Struthio camelus: one gene and its partners. The protein of the gene in region 3 binds, or shares a complex with, the protein of the main gene of each other region. Links are inferred from orthologs where the notes say so. Each region holds a gene or a part of one and is shown on either strand. Other genes may lie near its edges.

Region 1 (7,141 bases), on a different chromosome or scaffold from region 3:
GATCACATGCTGAAGTGGGCAGCTGCACCTAAGGCAGCTTTCTTCATTCTAGCAATTTCTTCCTGGAGCTAGCTTTAGCAGTCACCACATCTTTGTTAACCAACGGATAGTAAGGCAGAGACAGCACTCCTGGCATTCTCCAAGCTCAAAAACGTCAACTTAACTACCTTGCTTCCCGTTCTACAATCTTACTCCATTCCAAAAGGTCAGACAATTTTTTTTTTTAAAGGAATAAGTGCAGAGCCTCCTTTCAACAGATCTTCTAGTACCTCACTAGTGCGAGTAAGAAACTACAAGCAACCTCACTACCAGTAGCCTACAATTTCAAACAGGAGAGAGATATTTGGAGCTACTAAACTCATTGCATTATAGGTACGTACCCAGCTGATGCAAGACGACTCCAGTGGATATCTAGTTTGACACAGCGTACTCTAAGGGTTTCTCTCTGTGTCCCATTCTGCACTAGACACCAGACCTGGTACAGAAGAAAGGGCTCAAGTTCTACTTCCAGGTAATACAGAGCATTCCAATTTGGAACAGGAAGTTCACAGTTAAAGACAGTGTTGAAGTTGATCATATCCCCATCATCTCTTCTCCACATTTCAGCAAGCTTTAGAGTCTCAGCAAGCTTTAGAGTCTAAGACTCTAACATTTCTAAGAGGTAAAAGTAAGCAAGAACTGAGCCTTTTTTTTTTTTTTAAAGGAGAAAAAAACAGCATAATGGGGCAGGAGTCCTAACTTCCTCTGAAGAGTGTTAGAACAAAAATTACTTACTCTTGATTTTAACAAACTGATTGTCAGGGCTGTTGGAGTCAAGGTTCATAAAGAGACACCAAAATGTGCTTTTCTGCCTCCACAGGACTGCTTAACCTTTTTTCACAAGTACAGCACAGTGCTAGGTAAGAAACCTCCCAATTGCTAAGGTGTCCTACTCTTTGGATGATTAACTAGCTGACATTGAATTATGGGAAGTCTAATTTTATCAAATAGATGATCAAACACTTAAGTATTCAAATTTGATCACACTAAAGGGAAAGATCTCTTTTCCCAGCAGTGGGATAGGTAAGAATTGCTATAGCCTTTACTATAAAGGCTACTAAGCCCTGGAAAGGCCAACTGCATTAATAATCACGTGCATTATTTAGAGTCTGAGACAATTTGGTAAAGTAATAATTATTGCTAGAGGAACTGCTGCATTAAAACTCAGGAGAGAGAAGATCATATCCAGTATTTGCCAGTTCAGTAAGCATGCTGCAAGAAAGTTTTACTCCCAGCACAGTAGTTCCATCTGCTGTGCCACAGCCCAGGTTCCTAAAGAATGCCTGTATCGATATGTAACTGTACCTTAAAAGGTATTTGTTTTCAATAACAACATGGGGAAGAATTTTACAGCTGTTTCATAGAAAGATGAACACAGTCCAGCTACAGGAAGATAGCAGATGCCCTGGAGAAAAGATCCAGAGAGACAAGAATATGCAATTACATTTGATAAAATAGTCATCACCTAAAGCAGCACCAAAGGTTATTCAATAATCCATTGAAGTTCTATAAAGCACGAGTCATTCATGAAATCCCTTGAGTGTCACCGGTGCTTGAAACCATATGTAATCCTCCCAGGCCGATGTCATACCCTGAGGAGATGAGGCACTTATACTGACGTCTCCATCAGAGGACAAGTTGACAGTTAGTTTCCTTCCTCGAGTCGGCACTTTGTAGTTGAGCTTGGGCCGGAACCAATCAACACCACAGTCGCGGTGTCCTTGGAGCATAACGACAGTGCCCACGATGGGGAGAACCTTAAGTTCACTGAAGACATCCGCTATGAAGAGCGAGTGAAAAAGTTTACGCACGCAGAATGGGGTTTTCAGGCTCTCCTCAGCGCTGCCCACACAGATACCCTCTAAGTTGAGCTCATAAAGCTCCTTGGGGCTCACAGCATTGCCACCAAGCAGAATAAGAACACGGGGAACCAGCGTCAAACTGAACATCACTTCCAAGTGCTGGAGCACCCCCTCCAGCTCCATCAGCACCTGCTGGCATTTCTTGCTTGCCATGTCCATGGAGGGCGGCTTCTTAATCACGTCTCCATCCTGTCAGGGGGAGGAGGGGGAATTAGAATACTTGAGAAAAATAGGGAAGAGGTCTTAATACACTCTTGTGAGGTGCAGCACATCCCTTCCCTAACACTCAAGGGAGGTTGGACAGATTTTTTTTTTTTCTTTTAAGAGGTACAGGGCAGCTCATATGGAATCAGGAGGTCCGAGAGGAATGCAAAAGGCCACTCGGTAGCTGCTCAGCTTGAACCTGCATCAGGCTACTAATGAATCCTCACAACAATTAGGGACCCCAACTTTCAAAGGTGGGGAAACCACCCTGAAGCCACTTGAGAGCAAGGCAGCGTGCGGTGGGCTTGGCCGAGCCACAAACGCAAAACAGCGAGCCACGCACTTTGAGCGGAAACTGGGACGCAAGGGATTAACAGCAGCGTCTTGACACTTTTAGCTGTCGGCCTTATTTTAAAACAAGGCTGCGGCATGGCTAAGGCTTGAGCTAACGCGGGCGTCTCGTTTCAGGAGAAAGTGACGCCGTTGCCAAGCCGCGGCGCCAGCAGAGCGCCGCGTCGCGCCGGCCCCGCGCCTGGCCCCGGCCCCGGCCCCGCCGCCCACCTGCGCCGCCCGCCGGCAGAAGTAGACGAGCTGCTCGTAGGGCAGCGGCAGCTGGTGCCGCTGGTGCAGGACGTGCTTGAGGAGCTCGCAGGCGAAGCGGCAACAGCTCTCACGGCTCACGGCGCCCGGGAACACCACCGACACCGAGGGGCACCCCGCCGCTGCCGCCGCCGCCGCCCCGCTCCGCCGGGACCTCACCCCGCCGCGCTCCGGGGCGGCCGGCGGCGCCTCGGCTGTGAGGAGCGGGGACAAGGCAGAGGTCGCCCGCCGGGGAGGGGTGGGGGCGGCGGCCGCAACAGCCACCGCTGGGGCGCAGGGCCGCTCCGCGCCGCCCGGCGCCGCCATTTTCTGAGCGGCGGCGGGCGGTGGCCAGCGCGGATTTGAATGGCCGCCGCCGCGGGGCACCATGGGAGCGCTCTCGCGCGCGGCTTCCGGGGCGGTGCCGCCGCCATGTTCGGTGGGGGCGGAGCGGGGCCCGGGCCTACGTGGGGGCGCTGCCCTCGCTCCGGGTGCGGCAGCCGTGCGGGTGCTTGGTGAGGCCGGAGCCCCCGGCCCCGCTGCGCTGAGGCGCCGCCGGCCCAGCCGCGGGCGCCGTGAGCCCTCCCGTAGGCAGGGCGGGCGGTTTCTCCCTCAGTGCCGTTGGTCCCCGAGCGCCCGTCAGGCGCCCCCCGGGGCCAAGCCGAAGGCCCTGCCGGCCCCCCAGCCCGCTCAGGCCTCTGACCGGGGTGGGGGGGAGCCGCGCTGGCTCTGCCCGGGCTGGGCTGCTCCCGGGGCGCTGTTTTGCGGCGCGTTGCCGCGCCGGGCGAAGCTGTTTGCCAGGCGGAGGCGGGGGAGCCGGGCCAGGTGGCGTGCGGCCAGGGCCTGTCGTGTTTGGAAACAACGTGGCCGCAGCCCCATTGGGCGCAGCCTCCAAAACACGGCCCGGGGAGGGCGGTCGCGCCGGTGGGTGATGGGATGAGCAATTCCCCAGTGCTCCCGTAGGGTGAGGAGCGCTGTGTGCGCACAGCACGGCGACCTTGGCTACCTCTTAAAAGCACCAAAGGCTTTAAAAGCTGTTGATGGTAGCACATGTTAATCGAGCATCTCTGTCCCCAGGGGATGGAGCTGAGAAAAATGAGGCTTACTGGCAGTAGCAGTAGTAGCATCAGAGAGACAAATGAGTGGCAAAACATGCAGTGCATTACTGGCAGAGAAGGTGACAACACGTGGCAGGAGGTTCTCATCCTCAGCCTGTTGCTTTTACCCTTCTCAGCAGAGCTTATGGTATCTTCTCTATAGTTCCGTGCTGTGATACCATTTCTGTATAGCTATTAAGTATTTCTGATGCAAACCTTATTCGTAAAAACCTTTTGGCTCCCTGTCCCTGTTGCCAGCCGGAATCGGTGCCAATAGCTGTCACTGAAGTGGAGGGTATCAGGGCTCGAAGCGTGCAGCAGGCTGCGCCCCGGCAACATAAGCTGCGAATTGCAGAGTCCCCAAGGGAGGGTGGCAGGTGCTGGAGGAGCACCCCCTCCCTCAGCCTTGCACCCTCGGAGACCCTCGGTGGTTCCCTGGCCCAGGCCCGCTCCCCAAAGCACGGCCGAGGAGAGGGGCGGGGGAGCACCCGGGGTTGGGGGGCGCGACCTGTCGGCGATGCCCGCGGTGGCCGCCAGGCGGCGCCCTCCCGCCTCCCCCGGACTCCAACTCCCGTCCGCCCCCGCCCGAGGGAGCCCGTATAGGAGCGGGAGCGGGGCGGCGCGGGGCGTGCTGGGAGTCGTAGTTCTGAGCGGTGGGGGGCGGCGCGGGGCGTGCCGGGAAGTGTAGTCCGGCGGCGGGGACTCAGTTTCCCGTGGCGCCGCGCGGCGGTTTCTGACGCCGGGGCCGGGGTCGGGGCCGGGGCGGCGAGCCGAGCCGAGCCGAGCCCGGGCGGGGAGCGGGCGCCGCACCGGGCCGGGCCGGGCCGGGCCGCGCCGCGCCGCGCCGCGCCGCCATGGACTCGCGGGTGTCGGAGCTGTTCGGGGGCTGCTGCCGGCCGGCGGGCGGCGGTGCGGGCGGGGCGCTGCGCGGGCGCGGGGGGGCCGCGCCCGGCGGCGGCGGCTCCTCCAAGGCGAAGAAGAAGAGCGGGCGGAGCCGGGGGGCCAAGGCCAACAACCCGCCGTACCTGCCGCCCGAGGTGAGCTCCGCGGCGGGGCCGGGCCGGGGCCGGGCTGCGGGGCGTCCCGGTGGGGTGGGGGGCGGCGGGGCTCGGCGCCTGGCAGGCGGTTTGGCAGGCGGTTGAGCCCGGCCCCGCCGGCACCGTTTCCCCCGCCGCGGGTTTGACGTGGCAGCGCTCGTGGTGCCGGGCAGCCCCCGGCGCGCTCGGCCAAACCGCGTCCGTCGGCGACGGCTCGCTGCCTGGCGTGCCCCTGGCAGTGCTTTGCCGTCGGGGAGCTGAACGGCTCGGGGAGTAAAACCTTGCTCGCCTCGCAGTCCCAAGCCTGCTGTTGGCACCGCTGCTGGGCAGTCGGTCTGGTGGGTGCCGGCGTCTTGCCGGCTGCCGAGCTACTAGACACCGCTCGGCAGCTTCTGGTGACACCCTTCGCGGCTCGCTCCGCCGCTGTGCCCTCGCGCCCGGGTGCGGAGGGCGCTGACAACGTGAGAGGCAGTCTTCTCGCTCACCTCTTACCGCCGGAAAATACGGTATCGGCAATAAGTAGCGTGTTGGTTAGTTCAGACAGTTGGCGGGGAACCGATAGGACCGCCGCTGTGGCGAGCCCTGCGCTGCCCCGGAGTTGATTGCTCAGCCCCGGTCAACAGGAGTCCTGTAAAAGAGGTAGGAGCCTGCTGAGGGGGAGCAATTCCCCGTGGCAGCAGGGAGTACGGGGCCTAGCTGCTGTTAGATGACTGCTCCACGGACAGGACTGTCCCCTGCCGCTGCAGTTGGGTTTTGTTCCTTTCAGCTGGAGGCTGGACGGTCCCTGTGGCTTCAGCACAGCTTCCTGTCCTCTGCTGCCTTGTTCGCTGTGTGGTCCAGCAAGTCTAGACTTGTTGCTTTTCTGGTCTCGGCTGCCTTGAAACCGACCCACCACCCCCTTATCACATACAGCGTTGCATGTGCGTGCAGTGTTTCTCTTAGAGCTGGAAGGATGGTGGATGGTAACAGGAAAACCTTTTGCAAGTACTGCTCTCTCACTGAGTAGTTTCACTGCCAAGAGCAGAGCTGATAATTCAGAGCCTCCCTCTGTTGGCCTTTTGCCACCATAAGCTCTGCTGTGGTTAGGAGCTGAACTAGAAGGCAAGGAGAGGCTCTTGCCTCTCTTGACGTGCAAATCAGTGTCTAGAGAAAAGGGAAGTGCTCAGTGCTGGCAGCCCGGTTTAGTCTGTCAGAGTACTTGGTGTCCTGCAGGCTCCAGCCCTTTCTCAGTGGTCCTTGGACTGAAGCAGTGGGAAAGTTACTTCAGTAGTGGCCATACGTTTTCTCTGAGAGTTGGTGCCTGTTGTGGTTGGAGTGCGCTCGATGAGTTAATGAGTCTTTCTGTTTCGGGCTGTGACAATCCAATCTGACTGCAGCCCTTCCGAGGATGTTGTCCACAGACGCTCCTGATCGTATCTGCTTCTCCAGAACTGTCAGGCCAGTGACTACTTTGCTGTACTACAAACAAGTCAGTAGTTTGCTTCCGTATGTCTGAAGGTCCTTCTCTCTGCAAGGTAGATGTGCATGGATATAGGAAAGAGTCGATGAAAAAATAATTGGATGAAGGGCATAGCGGTGTGTGGGAGAGGAGACAGCGACTTTTACCCCCAGCCAGCTGTTTTCATGCACGTTGGGCGGACAGAAGGTGCTGGATAGTGTGTGGTGGCAGTGTGGGATGTGAATTGAGTGGGGTGCGTGGAGACTTCTGATCATCTGCCAGCCTGTGCTGTTTTTTTGAAACTGAAAGTCTCTCTGACTTTCAGACTGGCCTCATCCTTTGCTGTCAGTAAAAGAAATGACTCTAATTTAGCCTCTGTTTTTCGTACTGTGTGATGCAAACAGCAGAAACGAACCCAAAGTAAGTTCCAGTACAATGTAGGAATGAATGGCAGGAGAGGCTGTGACTAACACTGTATGTTTCTGCAGTTTTCCCTCTCTCTGAAAATGGTAGCAGGAGCTTCACAGTGCCTGGGTGGCTGGTGCCTATTGTCCCTGTTGGCACAGGGTCTGACCTTTCTATCTTGTTTCATTCTCTGACTAGGCAGAAGATGGGAACATCGAGTACAAGGTGAGCCTTCTGAGCCTTGCAGAGGGAGGTCTTCCTCCCAGAGGATTATTTTGCAGTGAGTAACTTCAGCAAAGACAGCATATGGGGGACACGTTCAAGAAAGGGACAGAAAAATAGGCACTGGACTAAGGAGTTATCTGTCTACTTCTGGGTCTCTGTATGTAGCAATGCTCAGTATGCTGAGCTGGAAGAGTTGGATCTCCTTGCTTGTTTTAGGAACCTGGTTTAGGAGATGAGACCCACTGTACTTTTCAT
Region 2 (7,865 bases), on a different chromosome or scaffold from region 3:
GGCCTATGATATCAAACCATCAGCAGCTGTTGTACTTACCTCATAGTTCCTGGCATTAGTATTAGCTGCCTTCTCTAGCTCAATGCGAGCTCTTTTGTGGCTAAGCTCCATCTGCATCTTCTCTCGTTCCACCTGCAGGAGCTGAGATTTGGAATGGATCTGCCCAGCTTGTTCTTCCAACTGGCCAGTTCATATGTGAAGAGGGATATTACACATCATTAATAGCACTGCAACCCATACTATCCAGCTGACACTTGCATAGTATTTTACAAAATTACAAGGGAACTATCACCTCACTTACGTCTTCCCAAACAAGCTGCGGATTGGGAAGCTAAGGCTAAGAGTTCGACAACATGCTCAGAAACCCACGTCAAATTAATGTTAGTTACAAACAAGTGAATTTTAAATTCCTCACTAAGAATTTCTCATCCAAATTCTAGAGGCCCTCTATCTGACAAAACACACTTCTCTACCTAAAAGAGGGTTAATTCCAAATCCCCCAAGCTTTATAAAAGTAACAGCAACTAACCAAGAAGCAGAGCTCATTTTTCCCATGAAATGTAATTGTTGAGCAAAATAGCATGTTTTTCTACAACCTGTTACAATATATTTTTTATCTATATGACTGAATGCTTCGTACAAAATTATTTTAAAGCACTTATAATATTAATAGAACACCTCACTTCTAAGCAATATACGATCACCATATATCTAGCGAAGGCTCTGTAACCAGAGAAGTACTACAGACAGAAAACACACAAATTTTTGTCAGCAACCTCAATGCAAAGGAGATTTACATTAAAAAAAAAAAAAATAAACAACCACCACCTTATTGTATACTTAGGAATTTAAATAGAACTTATATCAAGATATAGACTGCAGAAATGTTTCTGAGTCTAATATAGAGTCCCTAATATAGAGTCCAAGATGTCATCCTACTAGATGTCTTATGAACACAAAGCAAAACAAAATCAGAAAGGCAGCTTACAGGAAAAAGTCACAACAATCAATGGATTTGAATAGAAGAGGATAAGGTAGCAAAACTCGTTGGCATATCGAAGCCATGGCACTAGTGCAAGTCTCCTATATGCATCAAGGCAAAGAAATTTTAAAGAGGGTGGTGAAAAATGGTAAACAAGATAACTTACTGGAAATACACCTGTTAAGCAGCAGACTGAAAGCAACTTACAATTTAATTTTCTGAGCTGGTATACTGATATAATCAGTGAGGAAGAAATTCAAAGGACTTTCCTTAAATTTTCACAAGACAGAAATACACATAAGGCTAACACTTAAAAAAAACTTAAAGAATGTTCACCCAAAGCAAACTTCTCCATTACTGAGCATGCATAAATAGCAATTTTAGAAAGAACGGTCAGGTCTTAATGCAAACGATCTTGAATCACACAGAATCAAAAGGAGTCTACATTCATAGTGAGGTGATGCTGCAGGTATCAGCAAGAGGAGGATACCTCACCTGCACCCTCTGCTGGTACTGCATTTGCAAAGAGCTTTGCGATGATCCTGGCGTAGCCAGCCCAGACACCCCCTCCACACGCTGTGCAATGAAGTTGTTGAGAGACCTCAGGGTGGAGAAGACAGTAGTATTGTTTTCCAAGTCCTCCATGGCTCTGCAAATACACAGAAAGTTATCAGCAAAACATTCAGAGCAACCTAGTGTCTACTGGCTGCTCTTCTAACAAGAGACACACTGCCCTGGGTAACACTGAAGGCAAGATCTTCCTATTTACAGCATACAAAACCCAAACTGTTAGTGACTGCTGAGATTCACAGATTACTGCTGGGATCAGTGTGAACCAGAAAACACTATCCAACTGAGGCTGAAGATGAGAGACTGATGCAAGAGAACCTCTCTCCCCTTAGTTCTCCACCTGAAATTGTACATTTTGTATTTAAATACATTTTCCCCTGAGTCTCAGCCCATAAATATACAAACAAGAGGTGTCATAAGTTACGCAAGACTGAATTCTCCCTTGCTATATGATCAGAATAAAGCTGGGGTACAAGTTAACATTGTGCCAGGGGAGGTCCACAGCACGTAACACCAACAAACCGAACCCTTGCTACTCTTCCTCGACACACTGTAAGGCCGGGGGTAGGAAAAGACCTAAACCCATAGAGCAAACTCTACCTTGTACACAGCTACGAACCTGATCCTGGTTTCCAAAAGTCACTCTGGAACCTAACTTTCAATGACGAGACTTCCCAGGTTCTAAGGTCACTTTCAAAAGTGAAATTTTGGGCTCTCGTTCACGCACAGACTTGAAATTCTCCCCTCAAAGCGTTGTTAGAAGGCCAAAGATAAGTCAAGCGTGGAGCTCAAAGAAGCCTGTAAGCTGCTCTCAGGAGACCTCAGGAGCCTGCAGGGATTTACACCTCACGCAGTCCCAGAACCAGGAACCCCAAAACACAACATCTGCACAGGACACAGCGCTGGGACAACCTCCAGGCTCGTGCGTGAGCAGCACAGCGCAGCACTTAACAATTTACAGCACCACGAAAAGGGGGGTGGGGGGGTGGGGGGAAGGAGAAGCACACTAACAACAGACCAGCTGGAAAAACCAAACGACAACGTTTATTCGAAGTAAGGGCTTCAGTACCAGACACCAGTAAATCCAAAAGAGACCAGTGCCAACAGGTAACCGGGCTCCAGCGAGCCCGTTCGGGAAACAAACGGATCCGGAGAAAACAAGGGGACTGGGAAGACCAACTCGCCCTTCACCACAGGCTCCGGCCGGCCGGCAGGCCGCGCCGCGCTGCCCGGCCCCGGCGTCGGCCCGGCGGGGAGCCCCGGGGGCTGCCGGGGGGGACGGGGACAGGGACGGGGACGGAGACACGGGGACGGCGCGAGGGGCGGCGGGGCGGGAGCCGCGGGCCGGGCCGGGCCGGACTCACCCGCCACAGCCGGCGGCGCGCGCCGCCGCTTGGATCTCCCTCCTCGCCCCGCCGCCGAGATCTCACGGGAACTCGCGCCCAGCTCCCGCGAGAAGAGCGCCCGCGGCCGCCGTAATGCTGCGAGTGCGTGCGCGCAGCAGCGCCGCCTACCGTAATGTCCGGCCGGCGCGCCCCAGCACGGCTCCGCTGCCCCATAACATGCGGCGCTCGCTCTGCCCCCGGCTGCCCAAAACGCTGCCCCGTCCCCTCTGCCCTTAGGCCAGGACCTGCCTCTCGCCAAGCCCACGCACGTGCCGGTGCTGCGGAGTGAAAAAAGCAAAATCCTGGGAAAGATAAAGGGGAGCGTTAGCTCTGATCAGCTGCTGCTGCCCTTAGCAAACCCTCCAGAAAACTGAGCTGCTCCGGCTGTTTCTTAGATTCTCATCGCTCACTTTTAAAGTATCAGTAAAATAGAGATCTATGGGGATTAAAAGAAAACTGCGAAAGCTCATCCCATGGGGCTATTGTGATCATAAGTTTAAGTATCAACCTCATTTTACAGGGAAAAGAAAAGGCAGGTAACAGCAAAAAGCCAGCAGTCCCGGGGGCCCGCTTTGAGGCATGCGGCCTCTGTTTTCATCCTTTCCCCAGAGTCCGCGCTATGTAGGTTAGATGCTCCAGGCACTAAACATCAGCAAGACACAGGCTTTGCCCGTGGGTTTCGCAGAGGGAGACAATCAGTCTAGCAGCAGGGCTCCGTTCCCAGTTCAGAGGGGAAATACCGTCACGGAGAAGGGGTTGTAGCTGGCCCTCCCACGATGGACTCCCGCCCGCATCTTCCAAGCTCGGCCTCCCTGCGGCTGTCCGTTTGCAACGCCAGCTCCGCCAGACTTCTGCGTTCCTCACGTTGTCCTTGTTACCTCCAGGCTCCCCCCAAACTCTAGGCCTTGTCCCGTTTGCTCTTTCTTTCCCTCCTTACAGCCTCTCTAGCATCCAGCCTCATTTCCAGCACCACTTTGGCCGCCCTTCTCCTCCCTCTTCTCACCCTGTCCCACGGACAGGCTTTCAACACTCCTGTTCAGTCAGAATTCATCCTCCCCTCCCGCAACCGCAGTCAGAGCAACAAAAGTAAACAGCACATGGTTAATAGAAACATCCTGCTCAGTTGTAGTTGCTACCAAATCACAGGGTAACAAAGTTTTCAAATAGCAGACTGCCATAATTGTTCCCCCCAAACATACGCAAATCAACATCCAGCTTCCTAGTTTAGGCTGTTTGGCTAACACTTCCAGGCATACTGTTGAAGTAGAGAGATCCAGAATTGAAAGTTTCAGACAAACTAGTTAAAATTTGATATATTTTAAGCCATTGAAAATGAGGTGTCTATAATGAGAAATATCTGGAAGCCTTAAAAACAGGCAGTGCTACCAGCCCCTCCTGTAACTCATGCCTCACAGAGTTTGATAAAAGACCTATTTAATGTAAAAGCTGTCACTTCCAGATAAGATAGTAGCTATGTTTATTTTTGCAAATAGAACTCTACAATTCAACCAGTAATTTTACCTATCTGGGATCCAAGGAACATCTCGCCATTTTACCTAACAAACATCACTAGTGAAACATGAAGCATTACTGAAGATATAGGGAAAAATTATTTTCTCAACTGTGATGAGCCTCTGTCGTTTACTGGATTTATGAGTACAATGAAGTAACAATTTCTAAATATAACACGTGTCTTTAGCTAATGCAGCAAAGCCACCAAGCTTTGCAATATCCCAGAGCCGGAGTCATACGTTCTGAACGTCTGCATTATAGATTGTATGTGACAACGCAGACTCTGACATGCACAAGAGTGTTATCTATTTTTAAGCGTGCTAAGAAATTGTACCAGCTTTTAAGAAAGACAGAGAAGAAATAAATTGGCTCACACTCCCCTTGTTGTCCCCTCTCATTTTGGAAACTGCCTTTACGGTTAGTCTCCAATATGACAGCAGTAGTAGTGCAATGATTTTCAAGCACACGCATTAAAAAAAAAAAAAAAACCTGTAATCACTGTTTTATTTTTATTTCCATTACTCCAGCCCCAGAGGTTGCCTTTCAGATTATTCCTCTTCATTCCCAACAGTTTTCTCCACAGGTGAGAAGCTAAATTGGATGTCTCTGCTCGTATAATTAGTGGATAAACTCAGCAGGGCACCATCCTGGTTTTACTTTTGTACTTGAAAAGCATGATGTACTTCCTAAGAATTGCAGTATATTCTCCCAGGTTGTTCTCAACAATGTGACAGTTGATGTTGGAGGTCTTCATGCCTGCCTTTTTTTTTTTTTTTTTAAATACCTGCCAAGTAAAGATTTCCAATCAGTGTCTGATCACCAGTTCGATAATCTGCAATTCTCAGCTTTCATTTCCCTTTGTACAGTCTTGCCAAGTAATAAGATTCAGCAGAGTCCTTCCGGCTAGCCTGAGGCTTTACAGTTCTCACGTCTTGAAACTGCTCCTTCAGTCTGCCTTGAAGAAGGCGGGAGTCCTGTCCATCCCAGAATTTACAGAGCAGAGTTCCTTTTGGCTTTAAAAGGCTTTGCGACAGATTCAGAAGGCCTAAACATAAGCTGATCAACTTTTGATGGTCCAGTTCTTTGATGCCTGTTGCATTAGGTGCCATATCACTCAAGATAACATCCACCTTCTCTGCAGGAAGCAGACTGTGAATTGTCCTAAGCGTGCTTGGGTCTGTAATATCAGTCTCTGACAGGAAGACTGCTCCGTCCAGTGGGGAAATACGCAGAAGGTCAATTCCAAGGACAAAACCAGTAGGGACAGTAGGATCTAGAAAACAAAGAGTTGTCGTCAGAATGAATGACACACTGATCGCTCTTATGATATAAGGGCTACAAGCAACTTGCATATACCTGAGCTCCATGATATTCAATACACAAAAACGTATCAGCAGCCAAACACGGTCTCCCTGTCCTTCCATAAAGAGTTTGCTGCACATATCTGGATAGACGGTTTGCTATAGGCTACTCCATACAAAACATTAAAAGGCAGTTATTCCAGATACGCAAGAGGTATTTTTGTTGGTTTTTTTCTGTCGATTTTTTCGAGGCTGGCAGTCCAAAAATTCTGGACAATAATACAGACGATAATACTTTATCTTATAAATATTAGTGGCCTAAATCACATAAGCTGTATGTAGTGGTTACTGCCGTTATTCAAGAAAGGAAACAAAAATTTAGTAAGTTACCCGCTGGAGGCCACATGAATTTCAGAGGCAGATGAAGAGGGGATCTCACCCAGCCTTTTCATTAGCCTTTTATATAGTAACTTCCTCCAACTCAGCTAAGCAGAAGACTTAGCTAGTCTTATAGCAGCACCTCATCCCAGGGTTTAATTTCATAGATATGATTTCTCCAGACCATATGAAGAATTACGCTTCTTTACTATCACCCTGGGGCCAGGAATCTTGAGTTCTTTGCTACTTGAAATTTCTATCAGTGGCTGTGGCGACAGTCTGTACCCACGTACCTTCCCCGCTCCGCCATCAGCACAGTTGAGCTTTCCCACACACTTCAAAACGAGCGTTACCTCCATCTCAGGTGCCAGCGCGTGTGCACTTACCAGTACCCAAGGCATTGACCCTCTCTACAGCAACCTGACTCCAAGCGCCAGGCGCCGCTCCACAGTCAAGCACAGAAAGTCCTGGACGGAGGATGTGAAGCTTGTCATCTATCTCCAGTAATTTGAAGGCACTTCGGCAGCGGTAATTCTGCTGCTTCGTTGCCTTGACAAAGGGGTCCTTCAAATGCCGCTCCAGCCACTGGTGATCTGCTCCAGTCTTTCTCTTCAGGAGCGCCACCGCAGCGTGGAAGCATCGGCACCGCAGGGATAGGCTCACCAAACTCCGGCCGCTACCCGGGAAGAGAGGCGAGTTAACCGACTAGCACATCACCACAGTGTATTTCAGAGCTCTCCGCAGGAACTATTTCTAACCCCGATTACGTCTGCTCCCGTTTATAACCACGCTCTCCAGCAGCCTCCAGTTCAGGCACTGGAATCCTGGCCATTCGCAGCATCTTTAGTTATCGGTTCCAGTTACAACAAAAAAAGCCTCGTTCTGGATCAAGGCCTCATACGCCATTCCCTGAACAAAGCAGGTAGGGGGAAGGACGATCCCCTTCCTAACAGCTCCCTGTTTCCACCCCGGCTTTCGCGTTTAAGCCTTATAGCAACGTTCACCCAATGTGCAGCAGCCCTTATGAACCACCAACACCGAAGGCAGAGCTGAGGAGAAGAGCAGCGGCCCGGCCAGGTTAAGGCGCCCCGACCAAGGCGCCCCTGAGGGACGGCGGATTCCCCAGCGCGCACAGGCGCCCCCGTCCCTGCCGGCCCGGGAGGGCGCCCCTGCTCTAAGGTGAAGGGTGAGGATGAGTCAAGAAGGGACAACAAGACCCCCGAGGCTGCTCCCTCCCTGAGCGGCAGCCCGCCGGGCCCCGAGGCCCCGCTCCGCCCCTCGGCAGCAGCCCGGCCGCCGCCCCGGCTCGCCCCAGCGCGCCGCTCTCCTCAGCCGCGGCCGCCACGCACCTGCCGGCGGCGCCGGGCCCGCGCCACGCCATGATGGCGGCCAGGCTCGGCGGGGCGGAGCTGGGGGCGGCGCGGGGGGCGGCACCGACCCGGCGGCGGCGGCGGCGGCGGCGGCGCGGGAAGAGGCGCCGCTGCCGCCCGCCGCGCCTGGGCCGTGCGCGGCCTCTTCGCCGTGTGGGGGGAGGTCAGGCGCTGGGGGGCACCGGGCAAGGATTTGGGGAAAGGGTGCCGGGGGCACCGGGCATGGGGGGGGGAATGAGGCTTTGGGGGGGGGTTGTGGGCACCGGGCATGGGGGGGGAATGAGGCTTTGGGGGGGGGGGTTGGGGGCACCGGGCATGGGGGGGGGAAATGAGGCTTTGGGGGGGGTTGGGGGCACCGGGCATGGGG
Region 3 (7,005 bases):
GAGCTCAACACCTGCCATGAATTTTGAGAGCTGCCAACTACAGCAATGGGCAGCACTCTAAAACCCTAAGGAGAATCAAAGGGACACAGAAAAAATAGGAGGGAAGAAGGCAAAAGGGTGAGCTATTTCTATGGGCTCCTAAGTAAAGGATCTCCTCCTTCAAGTGCAGGAAGAAATGGCTCTAAAGAGATTGAGATCTACTAGAAAAGGATAAGCACTAGGGCTCTCTTAGCCAGGGTAAAACCTCCTTTCTCTGCTCAGGAAAAACTGAATTTACTGAGGCTTAACATGGCACCTCGTTAATGTGATAAGATGACTTTCGTAGCAAAGAAAACTTTCATTTTACAGTCTGTTTTACTACACTGAAAGGAGGGGCCTGTCACTGTTATCCTGAGGTTTAAAAAAAAAAAAAAAAAGAAAGAAACACACATCTCAACAACTCAAAGCTTTATCACCAAACGACTATGGGAGCATGACCTCAGTTACCTTGAAAAAAGTGAAGCAGTACCAGTGATTTGGACGGTAACAGATTCATTGACAATTGCCATGGGAAAGCAATTGTTAAGTGTTACAAAAAAGCCAAGCTAAACAGGGGACGTTTCCTTCCACAACATGAATTAAAAACAAAAAAAATCTGTCAGAACATGAAGCTGTAATTGAGAAGGAGAGTAATGACTGAAGAATCATAAGAGAACTAAATTCAATACAACTGGGACTTCACATTCCTTATGAAAATTAAGATTTCAGCGTGAGATAATTAAAGCAAGGATAGCCAACTCATGATGTGCCAAAACATATAACTCAGCTTGTCATCTTCATTCCTGAGAGTCCCTCAGAGCTGGTCAGGAAGCAGGCTGTCAGCCACACAAATCATTCACTAACCCACAGCAGTCTCCCTGCTGCTCTCCTTTAGAGCCCCATAGCCTGCCATTCGTCATGTAGCTGGACATGCCCTAAACACATCCTATAGGCATAATCATTGCACGGAGCATGCCCATTCAGTAACATGACAAAAGGACTTTATGTACATGGGTCCCCATCATACAACAGTGCTCTGATGGGGCCATCGGGCTATGGTCAAGTGATGGCTGCAGATCTAATTACATGACAGATGAGTGCAAGCTCCTGGAGTGCCTCTATTAGGGGATATTGGCTTGACCTGGCAGAAAAGCTGAGTGACAGTGACCTAAACAAAGTGAAGAAAATGAAGTCAGGTGTTGTGAAGCTTGGGACTTGTAATGGGGAAACAAAGATGAGATAATGGGAGAACTTGAAGGAAAAACAACAAACACACACTGTCAAATAACTAAACCTTCATGCAAGTGAATTATTGGGGTGAGGGGGGGAAAGGACAGGAACATCTGGATGACACGAGAAAGAAAAAAAATGTGAAGAAGAACATTCTAACAAAAGAAACACAAGGAGTAAGAAAAAGAAAGATGCTACTTCATGGACTAAAAAGATTGCACTTTTCAGAACTAATGAATTGGCCACTGAAAAATAATACCTGCTAAAAAACAAAGAGAAATGTTAGGATCTTTGCATTACAAAAGAAATTCAGCAGTATTAAACACACATAGTTTTTATCATTAGATTACATTTCCGTATATAGGAGAAATTTAAAGCAAAACAGTGACAAGTACTGTAAAAGGGGAATGCATTCCTCTAAAGAGACAGAGAAATGCGAACTGCACAAAGCAAAGGGGCTTTTGGGGGTAGGGGAGCACATCACGAGATGCAAGCCACTGTAAACTGCAATAGAGAAATAGAGAATCAGGAATAAAGAAGCGTTGCAAAACACTGTGAAATATCACGTGCCAGGTTCACCGAATGCAGCTTAGAACTTTAACAGAGGTATCAGGGATCACTCCTGTCTCTCATTACCTCCCAAACGAATGTTGAGAGAAATACGTAAGATGCAATTTAAGTCTGCTGTTGACAAACATATCAGGACAGTCGTATCAACAACAGATCTTCAAACCATCCAGCTGAAATACAGTGAAATGAATCTGTGGTAAATGAATTCATTATTGCTCCGGAAGACTCTTAGGAATCTACTAGAGCTATACTTAGCTGAATTTTGCTTCCAGAGGCATTTGTTTTTTTCTTTTTCTTCCATTTTAACTGTTTTAAACCAGCTGAAGGATAAATGTGTAAATCATGATCATAAGCTCTAATACACTTGCCTGGCCTCATGCAACAGCACTTTCAAGCCCTTTTTTTCAAAAAAATGAGCAGCCCTCCAAAACCCTCAGAGAAAACAAAACAGATGAAAAGCCACGTGGGAAAACAACAGTCCTGATACCATTTTGGGACAGAGGAAGAAAAGCATGATAGCACTTAAAGGTTTAAAAGAAAATAGCTGATATTCACAGCAATCCAGTTTCAAGATTAACAGTGCTTTCATAACATAGAATTTGAAGTATACCACACTCAATCAGAAAACATTTTTTTCAGAAAACTAATGCATAACACAATCATCAGTGATCATGACCCATTATAAAGTTCTCTAGGATAACTACAAGATTATTTAGACACTTTCAGAAGTTCAACACATGGTTTCCAGACCATACTATTTGCTTTAATCTCAGCAGCATGAACCTTGAAGCAAATGGTACTTCGTAGTGCAAAATTTAGTTCCAACAAAAATTCTTTGCTGATTTAGTTTTTTTGAGAAGCATTTTACTACAGCAAAATAAGCAATCTCATTATCAAGTCACTCTTTTAGCAGTTGGCCACTGCACTGTGTAATGATCATACAGTTTTTATTCTGTGTTTAAAATATTTTACCTTTACTTTTGTCATTTTATTTTAAGGCTGCTCTGATTAGATTCTTTCAAGGCTAACAAGGGCATCTAAAATAGGTATGTTGTACATAATGACATGTATTCTTTTCAGACATTTCAGAAAAATAAAATTCAGGGAAGCATTTTATTTGCAGCTCTTCTGTGCCTAACATATGCATTCACCTTTCACTTAGTGCTTCCTTGGCTGTTGATGTATCAGTTGGCTCATTACTGGCCACCTAGCTATTATCCCAGTAAACTATGGCTTCTTCTCTTCGAGATACTATTTAAATATCCCAACACTTAAGATGTACTTGCTGTTTCACTTCGTCTCTCTTACCTGTTAACCTGTGGCAGTGTTTCCTCCCTGCGATAATCACGACTAGCTGCAGGGTTTTCTTCCTTGCTGTCCCTGTAATAACAGGATTTAAGTGCTTTGACTAACTGGCAATTTCCCTACGAGATAGTCTGATGGGGGGGGGGGGGGTTGTATGTCCAGAGAGATGACTTTGTGGGTCCCCTATCTTTCTAAGTGCTTATTTTTAAGTGCTTACTTTGTGCGTTTCCCATTATCCTATGGACTTACAGAGAAATCGCCTTTTTTTGTTCCCCTTACTTAGGTTCTTCCTGCCTGTCTTCTGACAACGCTTGCATAAAAATCGTCCAGAAGCAATTAGATACCTGCTTCACTTCATTCACGCTACAGCTTGGTTTACCGGCGAGAATCGCAGAACAGAATATCGTTTCTGTGTTCAAAAGTGCCTTCATACAGGCAAACGCACCTGAATTCTTGACACTGAACTTCCAAGCACGCTTCTGTGAAAAGCCACGCTCCGCCCGCAGGCTGTGCCTCCCTCAGCCCACACACCCGTGGCAAAGGCACATTTAACTTTTTTTTTTCCCCCCCTCCCCCCCAGGTAGCTGCCCCACCTGCGCCCAATCACCGTTTTCATTCGGCTGGTCACGGAAAAGCAACCCCGCTTCCCCACCAAGAGACGCGCTCTGGCCAGGCAGGCGGCGCACGTACCCCCGCTCCCAGAGGCGAAGGCAGATGCAGCCGCCCAACCACCTCACAACCGGCCCCGAACGCGGCGCGAGCCGCCCACCCCCTAACGGCTGCCCGCCCCGCCCCGCCGCGCGCACGCCCACTAGCGCCAACGGCAGCCCAACGGCCGGCGCACGTGCGCGGAGGGGCGGGGCCGGCGCGGCCTGGCTAGCGCGCGTGCGCCAGAGCGGGCTGACGACAGAGGAAGAGGCGTTGGGGCAAGGGCGGGGCTTGATTTCAAACCGGGCGGCGGGGAGGAGGCGGTTGGGCCCGGGGCCGCGATGGCCAAGCAGCTCGGCCGGGAGCAGCAGGGCATCACCCTGCGGGGCAGCGCCGAGATCGTCGCCGAGTTCTTCTGTAAGCGGCTGCGGGGGGGGCGCGGGCGTGCGGGGGGGCGCAGGGGGCTGCTCCCCGCCGGCCTTCGGGCCGCCATGGCGGTCGGGGCGGCCTGGCCCCGTTCCCCCTCTTCCCCCCCCACCCCCTGCCTCACCCTGCCCCGACCTCCCGCCGTGTGTTGCAGCCTACGGGATCAACAGCATCCTCTACCAGCGGGGCATCTACCCGCCCGAGACCTTCACCCGCGTCCAGAAGTACGGGCTCACCCTCCTGGTCACCACCGACCCCGAGCTGAAGAACTACCTCAACAACGTGGTGGAGCAGATGAAAGGTGCTGGTGGAGGGCGGGGGGTGCCGGGGCAAAAGGCTGCTCAGGCCTCCTTGCTGGATTTCTGCCTATCCTCTTGCTCATGCTGTGAGTAACTGCTGTGGCTTCTTTCAGAGTGGTTGTACAAGTGCATTGTGCAACGGCTGGTGGTGGTAATCTCAAGTATCGAAAACAACGAGGTTCTTGAGAGGTGGCAGTTTGACATAGAGTGTGATAAAGCTGCAAAGGATGAGAGGTGAGTACCCGTGTTCCTCTGCGCCTGCTCTGGAAACACAGTGCAACCAAGATTGCCCTTCCCAATATGAGTAGGGAAGATTTCTCTTCAAACCTATTACCTAGCCTGCTGCTATTCCTTTTGTTCCTCTCTAAAGCAGTTGTTGTAGTACTGCAGCATACATAATCCTTGTGTGCTGTAAAAACAGTATCAGATAAAAAATGTGATTTTTTTTTTAATCTTCAACAAAACATAAAATTGCATGCCCTTAGAGAGCTAGTTTTGCTTTCCTATTGTTCTGCCAAAATACTTTCTCATTCACTCCACACTGAAGATAACAGCATCTGGCTTTCCTTACAAGTACTGTGAAGCTTCACAGAATTTTCTAAGCCTGTTTACCTAAGACGGAAATGAATGTCCTTGCTACGCAAAGCTAGCCATATAGCAAACAAACCAATGGCAGCATAATATAACACTGTATTTAATGAAAGCTGCTAGTGTGGCAGAAGACTCCTTCCCTAACAAAGCTTTTTTTCTTCTTCTAGTGTACCCCGAGAAAAATCTCAGAAAGCTATTCAGGATGAAATTCGATCTGTTATCAGACAAATAACTGCTACAGTAACTTTCCTGCCTTTGTTGGAAACTGCCTGTGAGTATTCCTGACTTCACTACAGAAATCAAGCACTTCTTGCAGAAAAAACCTGCACAACTTTTCTATTTTAGAAAACCTTTTTGTTTACCTTCTTAGTTTTTTTTATTATGACATGAAATGTCACACACTGTACCATATCTGACATGAGATTGAAGTTTGTTAAACAGATCACATCTCCTGCAACTGTGCATAAAACTGAAAAGGTATGTCAAATCAAGTATTTCATCTTAAAGAATTATTCCGTACTGCTTATTCTACAACAAACAGTAAAAATCATTAAGGTAAATGCTGTTCTCATTGAAGAACTTAAAGCAACTTCATTTGAAGGGACTAGTGGTACGTTCTGCCCTGAAACACTTATAAAACTTCTTTTGTCAAAACGACAGAACTCAAGGTGGTTTAACTGGCTTAATGAAACCAGCAAGTATACTTGGTACTCTATATAATTCTGTATGACAACAGCTGTGAATAGACTTTTATGAACACAAAGCACAGAATCTATCTGAAGCAACTACTATGAAGAACTCAGCTGCTTTAACCCAGTATTTTTTTTTGAAGAGATGTTAAATTCAAACCTTTGTTTAAATAGAAAACTGTCTACTAATCTGATTGTAGCCAGGACTTTCCATTTTTAAACATGCTTCCTTCACATAACTAGCATCACCGTAATACCTTAAACTTCTACTAAAGTCTCATCTTCTAGAAGAGGCACTTAATCTTCAAACAAGCTGAGTTTTACGCATGTTTTACTATTAACTTTTCCCCTCTGCTTATAGGTGCCTTTGACTTGCTGATTTACACAGATAAAGACTTGGCAGTGCCAGAAAAGTGGGAAGAGTCAGGGCCACAGTTCATAGCCAATTCAGAAGAGGTTCGTCTTCGCTCCTTCACTACCACAATCCACAAAGTGAATAGTATGGTAGCTTACAAGAAGGATTCATTTCCTTAAGATGTACTTTTTGTCATCGGTATCCTGTCTTGTGGAGCTGCACTGTGAACAAACTAAGTAATCAACAGAATCCTGTTACTGTGGCTGAGACTAAGTGTAATACAGAAAGAAGACAAAGCATTCTTCTATGATTACAGATACTGTGATGTCACACTAGTCTAAACCGTCATCCTTTTCAGGAGGTATATACAGGATTTAACTATCGTTAGAAACTACTTATGCTTAACAGTCAATGGTGTGTTAGGCTATGCTGAATCAGCTAGAGACGCTGCCTAAAGGCAGGATCAGTTGCTGGAACGGTCTTAAGAGCTTAAGTTACAGGATCTTAAGATTAAAATATAGAGTTCCATTAGCACTCTTCAAGTCTCTCTTTTGGTATTTAAAAACCCTGCTCTTAGCATACCAGCTTTTCATGGTAAAAGTCTAGGTTGTTGTTACTATAAACAATCCTAAAACTAATCAACAGAAAAATTCTATGTATAAAAGTTACTTGTACCTCCTAACCATTGAAAGCAGCTGTTTATCAGAAAAATCAAATGTGCAAAGTCATGTATATTAATGACTCTTCTCGACTATGTAGTTTTTGAGGATCTTGTTCCAGATTGGTGTGTACCTATTTCTTCAGTGTCTGTCAAATATCTATGTTCGTATTTGTGTCTTTACAGAATAAAGTTGTGCCAGTTTTCAAGTGTTCT

What was found. The genes of interacting proteins can lie anywhere in the genome.
Region 1: the proteins of MAD2L1 (region 3) and MAD2L1BP are in contact, whole or in part, in a crystal structure (PDB 2QYF), measured with the Homo sapiens proteins. The link is inferred for Struthio camelus from reciprocal best matches to the Homo sapiens genes MAD2L1 and MAD2L1BP. Residues at the interface, in NP_002349.1 of Homo sapiens: Tyr33, Arg45, Thr52, Leu54, Lys122, Asp126, Glu127, Arg129, Ser130, Arg133, Gln134, Thr136, Ala137, Thr138, Thr140, Phe141, Leu142, Leu144, Glu179, Val181, Arg182, Leu183, Arg184, Tyr199, Asp205; in NP_055443.1 of Homo sapiens: Pro61, His79, Tyr82, Gln83, Gln85, Pro88, Leu89, Pro90, Gln93, His96, Ala185, Leu187, Arg188, Phe191, Arg192, Phe195, Asp198, Ala199, Phe200, Ser201, Glu202, Leu203, Gln204, Ala205.
Region 2: the proteins of MAD2L1 (region 3) and MAD1L1 are in contact, whole or in part, in a crystal structure (PDB 1GO4), measured with the Homo sapiens proteins. The link is inferred for Struthio camelus from reciprocal best matches to the Homo sapiens genes MAD2L1 and MAD1L1. Residues at the interface, in NP_002349.1 of Homo sapiens: Tyr38, Leu61, Tyr64, Asn67, Val68, Trp75, Gln82, Lys83, Ser89, Ile91, Glu92, Ser93, Gly94, Arg99, Gln101, Ser150, Phe151, Asp152, Leu153, Leu154, Ile155, Tyr156, Thr157, Asp158, Lys159, Asp160, Leu161, Val163, Lys166, Trp167; in NP_001013858.1 of Homo sapiens: Glu527, Arg528, Ala530, Leu531, Gln532, Gly533, Asp534, Tyr535, Gln537, Ser538, Arg539, Thr540, Lys541, Val542, Leu543, His544, Met545, Ser546, Leu547, Asn548, Pro549, Thr550, Ala553, Arg554, Leu557.

Annotation. Positions count from the first base shown.
Region 1 is NC_090944.1:103,725,948-103,733,088, reverse strand, and holds the start of MAD2L1BP (MAD2L1-binding protein), read right to left. Parts: upstream 3,015-7,141; 5' UTR 3,012-3,014; coding exon 2,667-3,011; exon of another isoform or gene 2,658-2,666; intron 2,091-2,657; coding exon 1,560-2,090; 3' UTR 1-1,559. Other genes in the region: GTPBP2 (GTP-binding protein 2), read left to right, coding at 4,636-4,818, 6,860-6,886. UniProt on the Homo sapiens protein: May function to silence the spindle checkpoint and allow mitosis to proceed through anaphase by binding MAD2L1 after it has become dissociated from the MAD2L1-CDC20 complex.
Region 2 is NC_090956.1:6,271,062-6,278,926, reverse strand, and holds the start of MAD1L1 (mitotic spindle assembly checkpoint protein MAD1), read right to left. Parts: upstream 3,015-7,865; 5' UTR 2,917-3,014; intron 2,750-2,916; exon of another isoform or gene 2,622-2,749; intron 1,632-2,621; 5' UTR 1,628-1,631; coding exon 1,478-1,627; intron 181-1,477; coding exon 40-180; intron 1-39. Other genes in the region: MRM2 (rRNA methyltransferase 2, mitochondrial), read right to left, coding at 5,298-5,722, 6,515-6,804, 7,478-7,509. UniProt on the Homo sapiens protein: Component of the spindle-assembly checkpoint that prevents the onset of anaphase until all chromosomes are properly aligned at the metaphase plate.
Region 3 is NC_090945.1:20,326,893-20,333,897, forward strand, and holds MAD2L1 (mitotic spindle assembly checkpoint protein MAD2A), read left to right. Parts: upstream 1-3,987; 5' UTR 3,988-4,112; coding exon 4,113-4,188; intron 4,189-4,351; coding exon 4,352-4,498; intron 4,499-4,609; coding exon 4,610-4,730; intron 4,731-5,254; coding exon 5,255-5,358; intron 5,359-6,137; coding exon 6,138-6,310; 3' UTR 6,311-6,993; downstream 6,994-7,005. UniProt on the Homo sapiens protein: Component of the spindle-assembly checkpoint that prevents the onset of anaphase until all chromosomes are properly aligned at the metaphase plate.